3 linked regions of the Elephas maximus indicus genome follow. The protein of the gene in region 3 purifies or fractionates together with the protein of the main gene of each other region. This does not show direct contact. Links are inferred from orthologs where the notes say so. Each region holds a gene or a part of one and is shown on either strand. Other genes may lie near its edges. The genes, in order: RAB1B, RAB24 and GDI2.

Region 1 (3,600 bases), on a different chromosome or scaffold from region 3:
CTCCCCCACAGTGTGTTCCACACAAAAGGCCACAGGCTCCACACAGGAGGCCAACCTGCTGACTAAACCTCCAGAAAGCACAAGTGCCCAGAAGGTCTAGAATGAGGTGGCAAGCTCAGGTGGGAGGACCTTGAGAGGGTCCATTTCTGTGGCTGTTTCTCTCCTTGTGAAATGAATCAAGTATAGTCCCCTTTCTGAGGAGCATCAGGAAGAGAAGACAAGCAAAGTAAAAAGAAGCAAGGGCCAGAGACCTAAGGTCGAGGAGGCAAGGCTGGGGATGGCAAAGCCAGTACCTGGTCGGTGACGTCGTACACCACGATGATGCCATGGGCTCCCCGATAGTAGCTGGAGGTGATGGTCCGGAACCGTTCCTGACCGGCTGTGTCCCACTTCATGACAGGAGGGGAGGAGAGACAGGGTCAGCCTCACTCCATACCCAGAGCCCCATGCCCCTCCCAGAGTAGTGCCTCTACATGGCGGCTATGGGAAGAACACCACTCACGATCTGAAGTTTGATGGTTTTGCCATCCAGCTCAATAGTTCGGATCTTGAAGTCCACCCCAATGGTGCTGATGTAGCTCTCTGTGTATGTGTCATCCTGAAAGGGCCAGTGAACGGGTCTGAGGCCCATCTGGAAAACCTCCCTCCAGCTCCCTGCCCAGCTGAGCTCCTAACTGCCAAGCCCCAGCTCTCAGCACCCCACTTTGCCAGCCCTGCCGCCTTCCTGTTGGATGTGTTGCCAGCAGGTCCTGCAACTTCATCCTTGGTCCCCCAGGTCTCATAACTGCTGTGTTCTAGGGTATCCCTTCTTCCCCCTGGCCAGCCAGCCAGGACCCCAGATGGACGGTACAGGAGACTTCTTACTCACAGCAAACCGCAGGAGCAGGCAGGACTTGCCCACGCCCGAGTCACCAATCAAAAGCAGCTTAAACAGGTAGTCACTGGAGAGAGAGGATGGGAAGGCATGAAGGATGGCAGGGAGCCCACCCACCAACATACTGGAGTCACAACTGTAACCTTACTGGGGGGTGTGCCTTGGTTTGTAAGACGACGACGCTCACCCAACCCTCCTTCTAGTCCCCCACATAATATAGCTACCCCAAAAGGCTCTCAGTGTGCTGAGGCTAAATCCCAATTTACAGAGAAGGAATCCAAGGCACAGAGAGGGACCTGACTTGCCAAGGATCACAATCAGTAGCGACAGAGTTGGGTATCCTACTCATTCCTGACAAATTTCATTGTTCTGTCTGATTGGGATTACTTAGAGAACCCCACTGCATGCCCTGTGGTGTGCCTGCCTTGGCAGGCGAGGCCGCAGAAGTGGAAGCCAGAGCCCAGACCAGAACCCACTAAATAACTACCTACGTAAAGAGCCTGGTATGAAGCCACCAAGCAGAAGTGGCCAACAAGTAGCAATGGCAACAGCAGTTAACAGTCACTGAGTTCCTACTTTGCCTGGTCCTGTGCTAAGAGCTTCAAATGCACCATGTCATCAAATCCTCACGTCAGTCCAGTGAAGTGGGTGCTGTTATTGCCATCTAAGGAGAAACCCAGAGCTGGAGAAGGGCAGTCTTGCCCCAGGTCACACAGCTGTTAACTATACTACTAGAACCAGGTCTGTCAGACTCCAAAGTCTCTTTGCCAGCCTGCTGGTTTGCTTCTCTGTTCCCCCTTGTAATCCAGCTCAGAGCTTCACCCTGCCCCACGGAAACCTGTGGCCTGGATCGGGAGGAAGAAAAGGAAGTGGCAGAAGAGGAAGACAATGATAACTGATACTCCGGGGAAACTATCAGTGCGAAGTCCTGGCCAGGAGATGTGGGCCACCTACCCCAGCTACCCCTAGGGGGAGTGACCAAGAAGTGAGGAGAGTTCGTGGAGCAAAGAATCCCACCGAAGCGGGGAAGCAACTGCCACATTTCTGTAAACTTCAGTGTTACAGCGAAGGGAAGAGGTGTGCCGACGGCGGCAGGGTGCCTGTGCAAAGGTGAGGAGGGCAGGACAGAATGACTGCCGGGGGCGGCAGGGCAGTGCGGCCCAAGCGAGGGGCCAGGTGACAACCCCCCCGGAGCGCTGCCTCGGGGCCTCCGGTGTTGTTGGATCTGCAGGGCAGAGGGACTTAAGGCCCAACGTAAGGGCTCGAGTTTATACCAAGACCAGAGACTATCGTGACAGGCCCCAAAACGCTGAGACCGTTGTCTGCACCAAGGCCGCTGCCACGTTCAAGCCGCAGGTGGGGAAACTGAGGCCAGGAGAGATCGGGGCTGCGGGGTCACCTGACCGTTAAGGCCCGGTAGAGCACATGCCTCGGGCCCCAAGCAGTGCCCCTCGGGGTCGCCGTCTTTGGGCGCTGGGTGCAATGACTCGGGGGGTGTCGAGCCGGGGTTCGGGGGCACCCGGGGGGAGGGGCAGAACCCGGATGTGAGGGGGGGGGGTCAGCGGAAGAGAGACCCGGATGTGGGGGCGCCGCGCAGTCCTGACCCGGGCAGGACAACCCCGGTAAGCGTACAGCCCCGTACTCGGAATCGAGGCTGCGCCGGACGGCGCGGGCGGGGCTCACTCACTATTCGGGGTTCATGGCGGCAGCGGCGGCCCGCTCGGTCGCTCCCAGTCGGCTCTGCTCCGCCTCCCGTTCCAAGATGGTGGCCGCTCCGCCCCAGAGGCCCCGCCCGCGGAGCGCAGGCGCAAATACGCCCAAGTGGGGCCTCGCCGCGCTGCTTCTTGGAACTTGTAGTTTTCCACATTGTACGACAGGCGTAAAACGGAGGGCCCTCACCTCCCAGCCCGCTCCCTGCACCGCCGGCGCACTGCCTTCTGGGGCTTGTAGTTCGCTCCCTAGACGTACGTGGGATTTAGGACGGCGCCTGGGGGAGCTTGCCTGCATCCCAGCGCTGAAAACTCAGTTTAGGGCCAGGGTTAAGGGTCATTCTCCTTTCCCACGTCTGACCGAGGCGGTCATGCCTACCCTCCTAGCTCCCAGGGTCATGACCATTAGATGAGAAAGTGGGTGCCGGCAAAAGATGATGTTCATTCATCTAGAGTTTTCCGTGTGCTGGGATCTCGTAACTCACAGCGCAGCCCCAGGAGGAGAGTGTCATCACCCACATTTTATAGATGAGAAATATCGAGACTCATAGAATTCGTTCAAGGTCGAACAGCTTAAGAAGGGGCAGGGCTCAAAGTCCCCGCTCTCTATAACCCTAGAAATGGAGGTTGCCTTCTTGGGAGACTTCCGGATTCGGAATCTGAGGCCCCCAAACAATTCCGGGCAAGGAGCAGTATATTTGGGTCCCAGCGGCCCGGGTACCGGACGCGAACAACACGCACACACACACACTTGCCACTCACACGCGACCTCTCCCGACCCGTCTCTCCACCCTCAATCTTCGCCCCCCAAACAAGCCCAGCTCAGATTCAAACCGTCTTTATTTCTACAGCAATATCTGAAAATAAAGAGCGACCACCTCACTTCCCAACCGTGGCAGCCCCTCGCGAGAAGCTGCAGGTGTGGGAGGGGCGTGGCGGAACGGCTCGGTGGGCTGGGCCCGGGGCGGAGTCAGGCCTGCCTGGGCGGGGCCGGGCAGGAGGGGCAGTGCATAAGGC
Region 2 (3,816 bases), on a different chromosome or scaffold from region 3:
GTGATTCACAGTGCATTGATTTTATTTACAAATCAGAAGCCACTTAAATAATCTGCAGACACATGTGCTGTCCAGGGCAGAAGCCTGGGGTCCAAGTCAGCCCTCAGCCCTCCTTGTTCCCATCAGTCAGCCCAATGCTGCCTCCGTTCCATGGGCCAGCACAGACAGGTGCCACCTCTGCTGCCACAGGGACCTGGGGTAGCTCAGACATTTGACCACCCAAGCCCAGATAAGTTGGGTCCAGCCCCGTGGGAATTCATTTAATTCCCCCAGGCTAGGTGGGTGGTGACTCAGTGATGACAACAGCTGTAGAAGTAGGGATTTGCCTTCTGGCCCAGGTCCACGCCCTTGTCCTCTGTCAAAGAGAGATGGCAGCTCAGTACCATTCTGCTGGAGGGATCAGGTGCCAAGGGTCTAGAGGAAGTCTCCACAGAGGCTTGAGGAAGCACACACCTGTCATCACCTGGAAGGCAGCCACACTGACGTAATCCTCTGCCACTTTCTGGAAGAGCTCGTCTGGCAGGAAAAAGGATGATCGGTGAGGGCCCAATGCCAGCAGCCAGGGAATCATCCAGTGACCCAGCCCTCTAAGCCCGTCTCTGCTTCCTTCGATGCCCCTGCCTGCCCTACTGTGAGGCCCCAGGACGACACTCACCCACACTCTGGCCCGTCTTGCTAGATGTTTCAAAGAGTTGAGCTTTAATATCTGTAAAGAAAAGTGACTAAACCCTCATACCCGAGAATGTGGGTACAGAACAAAAGGGGAAGGCTAACAGTTGAGGAAATCTGGACCCCTCAGTCCATGGAGCCCAGAGAGCCTTAGGGATCTTGCTGAGGCAGCCAAGCAGTCACTCTCCTCCCCCAACCCCTGGGGACTGAGGAGCAATACTGTCTGCATAGTCCTGAACGTCATGGAAGTCCACACGTCGCCGCCGCCGATCCTCCTCCAGCAGGTCACTCTTGGTGCCACACAGATAGATCTGACAACCCTGGGGCAAAAAGCAAGGTCAGGGTCACCCTCATGGACCACTAGAGCGGCAGCCTCTGGTCCCCTGGCTAGGTGTGGCCACCTACCTCTTCTAGGTTGCGCAATTCCTTCACCCAGAACTTTGCTCTCTCAAAGCTGCTGCTGTCTGTGAGGTCTTGGTGGGTTGGTTGCGTAGGAGACACAATCAAGGGTCAGGAGCTGAGGCTATCCTGGCACCCACCCCTGCTGCTGGAGGAACAGGCCAGAACCCCCGCCCCTTACCATAGCACACGATGGCAGCCTTGGCACCCCGATAGTAGATTCGGCTCATGGCCTCATAGCGCTCAGAGCCTGCTGTGTCCTGAAGGGCAAGAGGAGGCTCAGTCTAGCCTGAGTTGCTAAGCTACTTCCAAAACTGCAAACTACACCTGCATCCTCCAAGGACCCCATTTTCCAGATAAAGAAACTACGGTCTATAGAAAAGAAAAACTCTGGGCCCCCAAGTCAGCCAGTGATGGGCAGGACCTAAGCCCTCTCAGGAATGGGTTTCCCCAGGACATCTTGCCCAGGTGACTTACCCAAATACCCAAAGTCACTGTCCGGTCTCCGACGGACATCACCTTGGCCACGAAGGCGGCCCCGATGGTCTGCAACGAGGGGAAAGAAATAAGGGCCGCGGGTGCGAGCTGGCCCCCTCCCACTCGTGCCCGGCCCCGCGGGGCGCACTCACGTTCTGATAGGGCCCCACCAGGAAGCGGTCGTGCACGTATCGCTCCACCAGGCTCGTCTTGCCCACGTACTCCTTGCCCAGCATCACCACCTTCACGTCCACGCGCTGTCCGCTCATGCTCCCGGGGACGCCTCACCCACGTCGAGGTCCGGAGCGGGGACGGGAGGCAGTGCCCAAGCCTCCGGCCCCGACCGCCGGCGCCAACCTACGACTCGAGACACCAAGGCGGGCTCGAGCTCCGGCAGCGGCCTCACACCTCGACGGCGCCCCCGCCCGTCCCGGCTCTTCGGCCCCGGGTACTGAGACTCGAAGAGAGCAAGACCCAGGGCGTCCTGAGAGCGCGCGGGGCAGCGCCCTCAACGGCGCTGCACGCCGCTGCCCAGCCCACTCCCTCGTCCGCCTCGCTGAGGTCCCACTGAGGCTTGGACTCCCAGCCGAGCCCGGCTCTGCGAAGACCCCGGTCCGACCAGCAGCGCCGCGAAACCCGCGAATCCCGCGGGAGGGGGCTAGAAAGCCAGGTTGGGGGGGGGCGGGCGGCAGGACACCGAGGTCACGTGGTGCGGACGCCGGAAACGATGGGTGCTGCGCCGGAAGTGGCGCGCTTCCTGACCACTCCTCATGGCGGCGGCGGCGGAGGTTTGGGCGCGGTGTGGTGGTGACTGAGCTGCGAGCCTGGCGGGCGTGCGCCGAGCCACGGCCCGGCCTCCGCGTGCCCCCCGGGCTCCGCACCCCTGATGCTGCGCGGGTGCTGAGCCCGCCCCGGCCGGGACGATGGTGAAGTATTTTCTGGGCCAGAGCGTGCTCCGGAGTTCCTGGGACCAAGTGTTCGCTGCTTTTTGGCAGCGGTACCCGAATCCCTACAGGTACGTGACTCTGGAAAGAGCAACCCTCCCCTCGCTGCTTGGAGATCGAAGCGTGGGCGACCCCCAAATGAGGCTGGGAAGAACTCGACACCAAGTCTGAGATGGGGAAATCCTTGAACCGTGGCTGTGTTTAGAGCACGAGGATCTTATCGGGAAAGCAGCCAGGCCAGGCCTGCAAGGTCCAGAGAGGAGACTGGGGCCTGGGCAGTTTTATGTGAGTCCCTCTTCGAAGGCCCTCGTAGGGTGGGGAGACAGGAAGAGGCGGTGGCACAGGAGTTGGGCAAGATCTTAGGGTTGGAAATCCAGAGTTTTTCCTATCCTCGTCCTCTCTCTAGTGGTGCAGTAAATCCTAAGGTCCAGCCCTGATAACAGGCCCAGGAATCCAGGTCAGCGAGGAGGCGGGAGTTGGAATTTGCCCTGAGGATAGGCTCAATGGACTCCAGTTCTGATCTGGGCCACAGCACAGATTACTTTGCGAGATTGCAGGAAGGCATGGCCAGTTGGGGCCAGGACACTTCAAGTGGGAGCCCCAACAGGCAGTACACCTGAGGAATGCTTCTAAGTATCACCTTCTCTCTGCCACCTGCAGCAAACATGTCTTGACGGAAGACATAGTACACCGGGAGGTGACCCCTGACCAGAAGCTCCTGTCCCGGCGACTCCTGACCAAGACCAACAGGATGCCTCGCTGGGCTGAGCGACTGTTTCCTGCCAATGTTGCTCACTCGGTATACATCCTGGAGGACTCTATTGTGGACCCACAGAATCAGACCATGACCACCTTCACCTGGAACATTAACCACGCCCGGCTGATGGTGAGCTCTCCTCCCCCTACAAGTAGAGCAATCCTTGGGTGTGGCTGGAGAGCCCTTAGGGAGCACTTGTGGTTTGAGGCAGGTCTGGGTTACTGAAGCTTGATGGTTCTAGAGTACAGCCTCAGATTATCTTTTCAGCTGGTTAGTTTCTCTGGACTTAAAACAGGCAGGATACCTGTTTAACAGAGTTGTTCCAAGTACTAAATACAAAGCACTCAGCACTGTGCCTGGCACACACACAGGGTGTAACCCACAGGAGTGGTATTGAGGGAATAAGGCAGGGGTTTTCAAACATGAGTCCATCGAGCCATAAGTATGCCTTGAATACACTTGGGAAGGAGACCCTCTGTCCCTTTTGTCCCACTTTGATTGGAGGAATTCACTTTTGTGTTATGTAATGGATTTCTGCCTAAGATTTTTGGAGAAAAATTTGAAAACTCA
Region 3 (3,816 bases):
ATTCATTTAGGATCCAACAGTGTTCCAGCTCACCACCAAAAAAGAAATTAGACTGAATCCCTCACATTCAAAATAGTTAAATGGCTTTCTAGATAAGTGATCTCATCTATTTGGAACTATTTCCTAGCCAGTCACATGTGTATTTCCAGACTGTTCAAACATTCAGAAACATTCAGAAAAAAATCACCATAAATCATTATAAACACAAAAATGATGTGTCAGTGATTTTAATAATTAAAAAATCATTTTACCAGAATAAAAAGCTATTCTAATTCTTAACAGCCGTTTCCTAAAAAATTAGCCAAGTAAAAGTTCAAAGATTTTTTTTTCGTGTCTAGAGAAACCTAAAATAGCTATTTTAATGTTATCTGAAAAAATTAATTTGATCTTGAGAGATTACAAAGCATTTCAGCTCATTTGAAGTGGTGGTTTGCATTAAATGACTCAGGAATTTGAGGTCAGATTCATAAGATACGGAAGATTTTCATCAATGTTCACCTTATTAAGACAGAAGTAGTCCAAAGACAGAACTCCAAATTTCCAAAGAAATTTGACAAACTGGTCCTCTCTTCAAATGGATTTTTTTTTCCAAAAAAAAAAAAAAGTATGAAGACAAAGAAGTACAAAATACAACACCTGCCTGCGTTATTTCCAGAATATTATCCAAAGGTCTCTAAGCAGACAGATGCCCAGGAAAATAAAGATACCATGGTATTAGGAACAGCTCGCATTCGTACTGCTATTGTATGTAGTAATACGTAATTATGTTGTTACTGATTTACCGTCTAAATCCCTAAAGAGAATACAGTAGTAGAGAGAGAACTTGGCCTCTACCAATCCATCACCAATCCATTTCTTAGCGGAAAGCATGTAGAACAGACAATGGAGACAGGGGACAAACCAAACAAAAGGAAAAGATGACAAAGGTCAGGTGCAAAAGCATTTGACAGGCAAGTTTTAAGACAAAACTCACTTCCATTCTACAAATGCTCAATAAGTGGAGTGGGGAAGGTGGCTAAAAAGAATCGATAATGTTTCTTATTTGAGGCTGGGAGAATAAGAAACTAATTGTTCATTTTCTCTAAAAAGGAAAACTAATTAAGCTGTAACAATTACCGAACAGTGATTCTCCAATGACTTGTCGCAAAATCTTTGCCTAGCTTTGGCAGCCAAAGACTGGCTAGTGGTTGACGACTAAATAGGAAATACAAGTGTCCTCCACCCTCCCCCACTCTGCCTTGTGCTTTTCCGTTTCCTATCCGAAGAGTCATCAAACCAAAAAGGGAGGTGGAGGAGCATCAATACCCCAAACCAGGCTTTTTTTTTTTTTTAAACTCTGTGGGAGAATGAAACTCTCTTTTTTCCACCTATTTTTATTTCGCCATCAGTATTCATCATCTGCTTGACCGGCTTCACGACTAAAGCTCTGGGTTTTCAATTTCCTGGTTCTTTCCTTCCACATTAAACAATCTATTCCAACCTGCAACCGACACAAACTGCCATGAGGTTACGAGAGCGCTAGATTCTGCCGCAGGCTGAAACTCCTTCAGAACTCACCCATTCCAACCAGCGAAAATTCTCTTTACCGACAACCTTGAGAACCACCTCTTCTTCTTCGAGAAAAAAAAAAAAAAAGACGACAAAGTATTAACGAAAAGAGATGCAAAACCGCAGGCCGGCTCGCCCTCTCAAGGCAATGCCCAGATGCCTGCAAACCGGGGATTCAGGAACAGAAACACAGACAGGCCGACTCTTCGTGTCCACGTCCAAAGGTGAGCCCACACCTTACACATCCACAAGTCGGAGGAAAAGGAAGACAGTGCGGTAAACTAGCGGGGGACCTGGGGAAGGAGACTGCAAAACCTGCCGGCAAGACAAGGAGCTGTGCGGGCCGGAGCACCCGCGGCCGCAGCCGCCCCTGTCCCGGCCGCATTGACTTCCCCGGACAGCTCTGGCCTGGGCTGGGGTCGGCTCCCCCGCCCCCTAGCCCCGCGTCCGGGCCACATGCTCCGGGGCTCCTCGGCCGCGGTCGCTGCCTAGAACTCACCGTCAGGCCGGTGCCCAGCACGATCACGTCGTACTCCTCATTCATGGCGGGGACAGGGAGAGGATGGAAGACAAGATCAAGGAGAAAGCGCAGGGATTCTAGACAGCCAAGGGGGTTATATATCAACCCTAAGGCGGCGGTGTAAGAGCTCAGGCCGATTTCGGAGCCCAAGAGAAAAAGGAAGACCGGAGAGGTAAAATGGAGCTGAGAAGAAGGCGAACCTGCGCGCCACCTCAGACGGGAAGAGAAGAGCCGGGAAGGGAGGGGGAAGAGAAGGACGGGAAGGGAGGGGGGAGAGAGGCGGGGCGGGCAACAGGAGCCCTCCGCAGCCTGGGGGGCGGGACTTAGGGGGAGGTGCAACGGCGGACCAGCGATCACGCTCCTCCTTCTCTCTCATTGGCTACTTCCCCATCACTCGCCCAATCATCTTCCTCTCAGACTTCACGCGAGAAGAGGTTGGGCGTAAACAGCTTAGATTCCGGTTACCCACCGAGTCCTCTGCCACGGTGGTTGAGGGGCGGAGGCGGTGGTTCGGCTCTAGCGATTAAGTGGGAAGGAAGTATGGCCAGAAGCTAGACAGTGACTGTCAACTAACTACTGCAACATCTGTGGGAGCTCAGTCGCCTCCAAAGGCCGCATGCCACCTTTGGACTTTGAGCTGTGCGCGCTGTCTTGTGCTTGTAGCGGCCACGTGGGACGTGGCGGGGAGTGTTGACTCTGCCGCGAGTGTCTGGAAAACTGCAGGCGCTCAGTTTGCTGCTTGTGAGAGGAATGCGGACTGGGGAAGGCCTGTTTCCCAGTCCCGCAGACCCTACTCTCGTGTCTCGCGGATTTGCAGCTCTTCGTGCGTGGCTTGGGATTGCTGACTGAGGAGGTTACGTAATGTGGCGTGACACTCGCTTTTGCCTCCGGACGGGATGGGCTGGTGGGACTTTAGAGCTGCAACTGGGCGTGTGTTCCAGGCGTCCAGGCAACCAGCCTCCGGATGCTTGAGCACTACCTGCAGTTGCCCTTATTTTTACTAATTGTAACTTTGTTTTGTTTCTGTCCTGCCTCCTTTGTTCTGGGACAAAAAGGAAAGAGTTCGGAAATTCCTTTTTTTTTTCCCCTGTCCTATGTCATTCTTGCTTTTGGTGCGTTGATCATACCCATGTGTGACCTTAGGAAATGTGGGAGAAGGGCAAAAAAAAAAAAGCCTCTTAAGAAAAAATAACCCTTAGCATAAATAATGGGGAAGGCCAGATTTGATTTGGAAGCACATCTGCACCTACTGAGAGCTAAAACTTAAGCCAGGTATAAAAATAGTGCCTGACCAGTGTATAAAAGTGCTCAGGCCATAAGCATAGAGGAAACTATTCGTTTGCCCTCCATTTCTCCGCCCCTCTTCTTCTTTTTTTTTTTTTTTTGGAATCTCTGGCTTTCTGTGTGGAGAAGCATAAGCAGAGGCTTGTGTTCTTTTAACCCAAGGGGAGTAAACCCTGAGGTTTACTAAAGAAGAGGCCTTCTAGACAAGTGATTTCCTTAAAGGTGTTGACACTTAAAACTGTTTCAGCCTGCCATAGATTTGTATTCTTAACAGCCAATAAAGATTTGGTATTTCCTTCAAGACTTGCCTCAAATAGAGCTAGATAATAACTGTTCAAAGCGAATCCTGGTAGGCAGAACTCCATGTTTAAATCATTCAGATACAGGAAAGAATTTAACAACTTTTACATTGTTTCTTTACCCCATAAAACCAGTTTAAGAGGGTATGACAATAGAATTTTTTT

Evidence for each region.
Region 1: the proteins of GDI2 (region 3) and RAB1B purify together in Homo sapiens (affinity purification with mass spectrometry; 3 studies listed by BioGRID and IntAct, counting the BioPlex papers as one, with this or other methods). This does not show direct contact. The link is inferred for Elephas maximus indicus from reciprocal best matches to the Homo sapiens genes GDI2 and RAB1B.
Region 2: the proteins of GDI2 (region 3) and RAB24 purify together in Homo sapiens (affinity purification with mass spectrometry; 3 studies listed by BioGRID and IntAct, with this or other methods). This does not show direct contact. The link is inferred for Elephas maximus indicus from reciprocal best matches to the Homo sapiens genes GDI2 and RAB24.

The regions. Positions count from the first base shown.
Region 1 is NC_064825.1:129,422,396-129,425,995, reverse strand, and holds the start of RAB1B (ras-related protein Rab-1B), read right to left. Parts: upstream 2,672-3,600; 5' UTR 2,576-2,671; coding exon 2,562-2,575; intron 942-2,561; coding exon 869-941; intron 599-868; coding exon 503-598; intron 390-502; coding exon 294-389; intron 1-293. UniProt on the Homo sapiens protein: The small GTPases Rab are key regulators of intracellular membrane trafficking, from the formation of transport vesicles to their fusion with membranes.
Region 2 is NC_064820.1:197,637,577-197,641,392, forward strand, and holds the start of RAB24 (ras-related protein Rab-24), read right to left. Parts: upstream 2,302-3,816; 5' UTR 1,815-2,301; coding exon 1,698-1,814; intron 1,615-1,697; coding exon 1,546-1,614; intron 1,329-1,545; coding exon 1,250-1,328; intron 1,143-1,249; coding exon 1,075-1,142; intron 990-1,074; coding exon 890-989; intron 707-889; coding exon 656-706; intron 517-655; coding exon 454-516; intron 356-453; coding exon 291-355; 3' UTR 1-290. Other genes in the region: PRELID1 (PRELI domain-containing protein 1, mitochondrial), read left to right, coding at 2,469-2,560, 3,150-3,375.
Region 3 is NC_064822.1:53,077,126-53,080,941, reverse strand, and holds the start of GDI2 (rab GDP dissociation inhibitor beta), read right to left. Parts: upstream 2,330-3,816; 5' UTR 2,093-2,329; coding exon 2,048-2,092; intron 1-2,047. UniProt on the Homo sapiens protein: GDP-dissociation inhibitor preventing the GDP to GTP exchange of most Rab proteins. By keeping these small GTPases in their inactive GDP-bound form regulates intracellular membrane trafficking.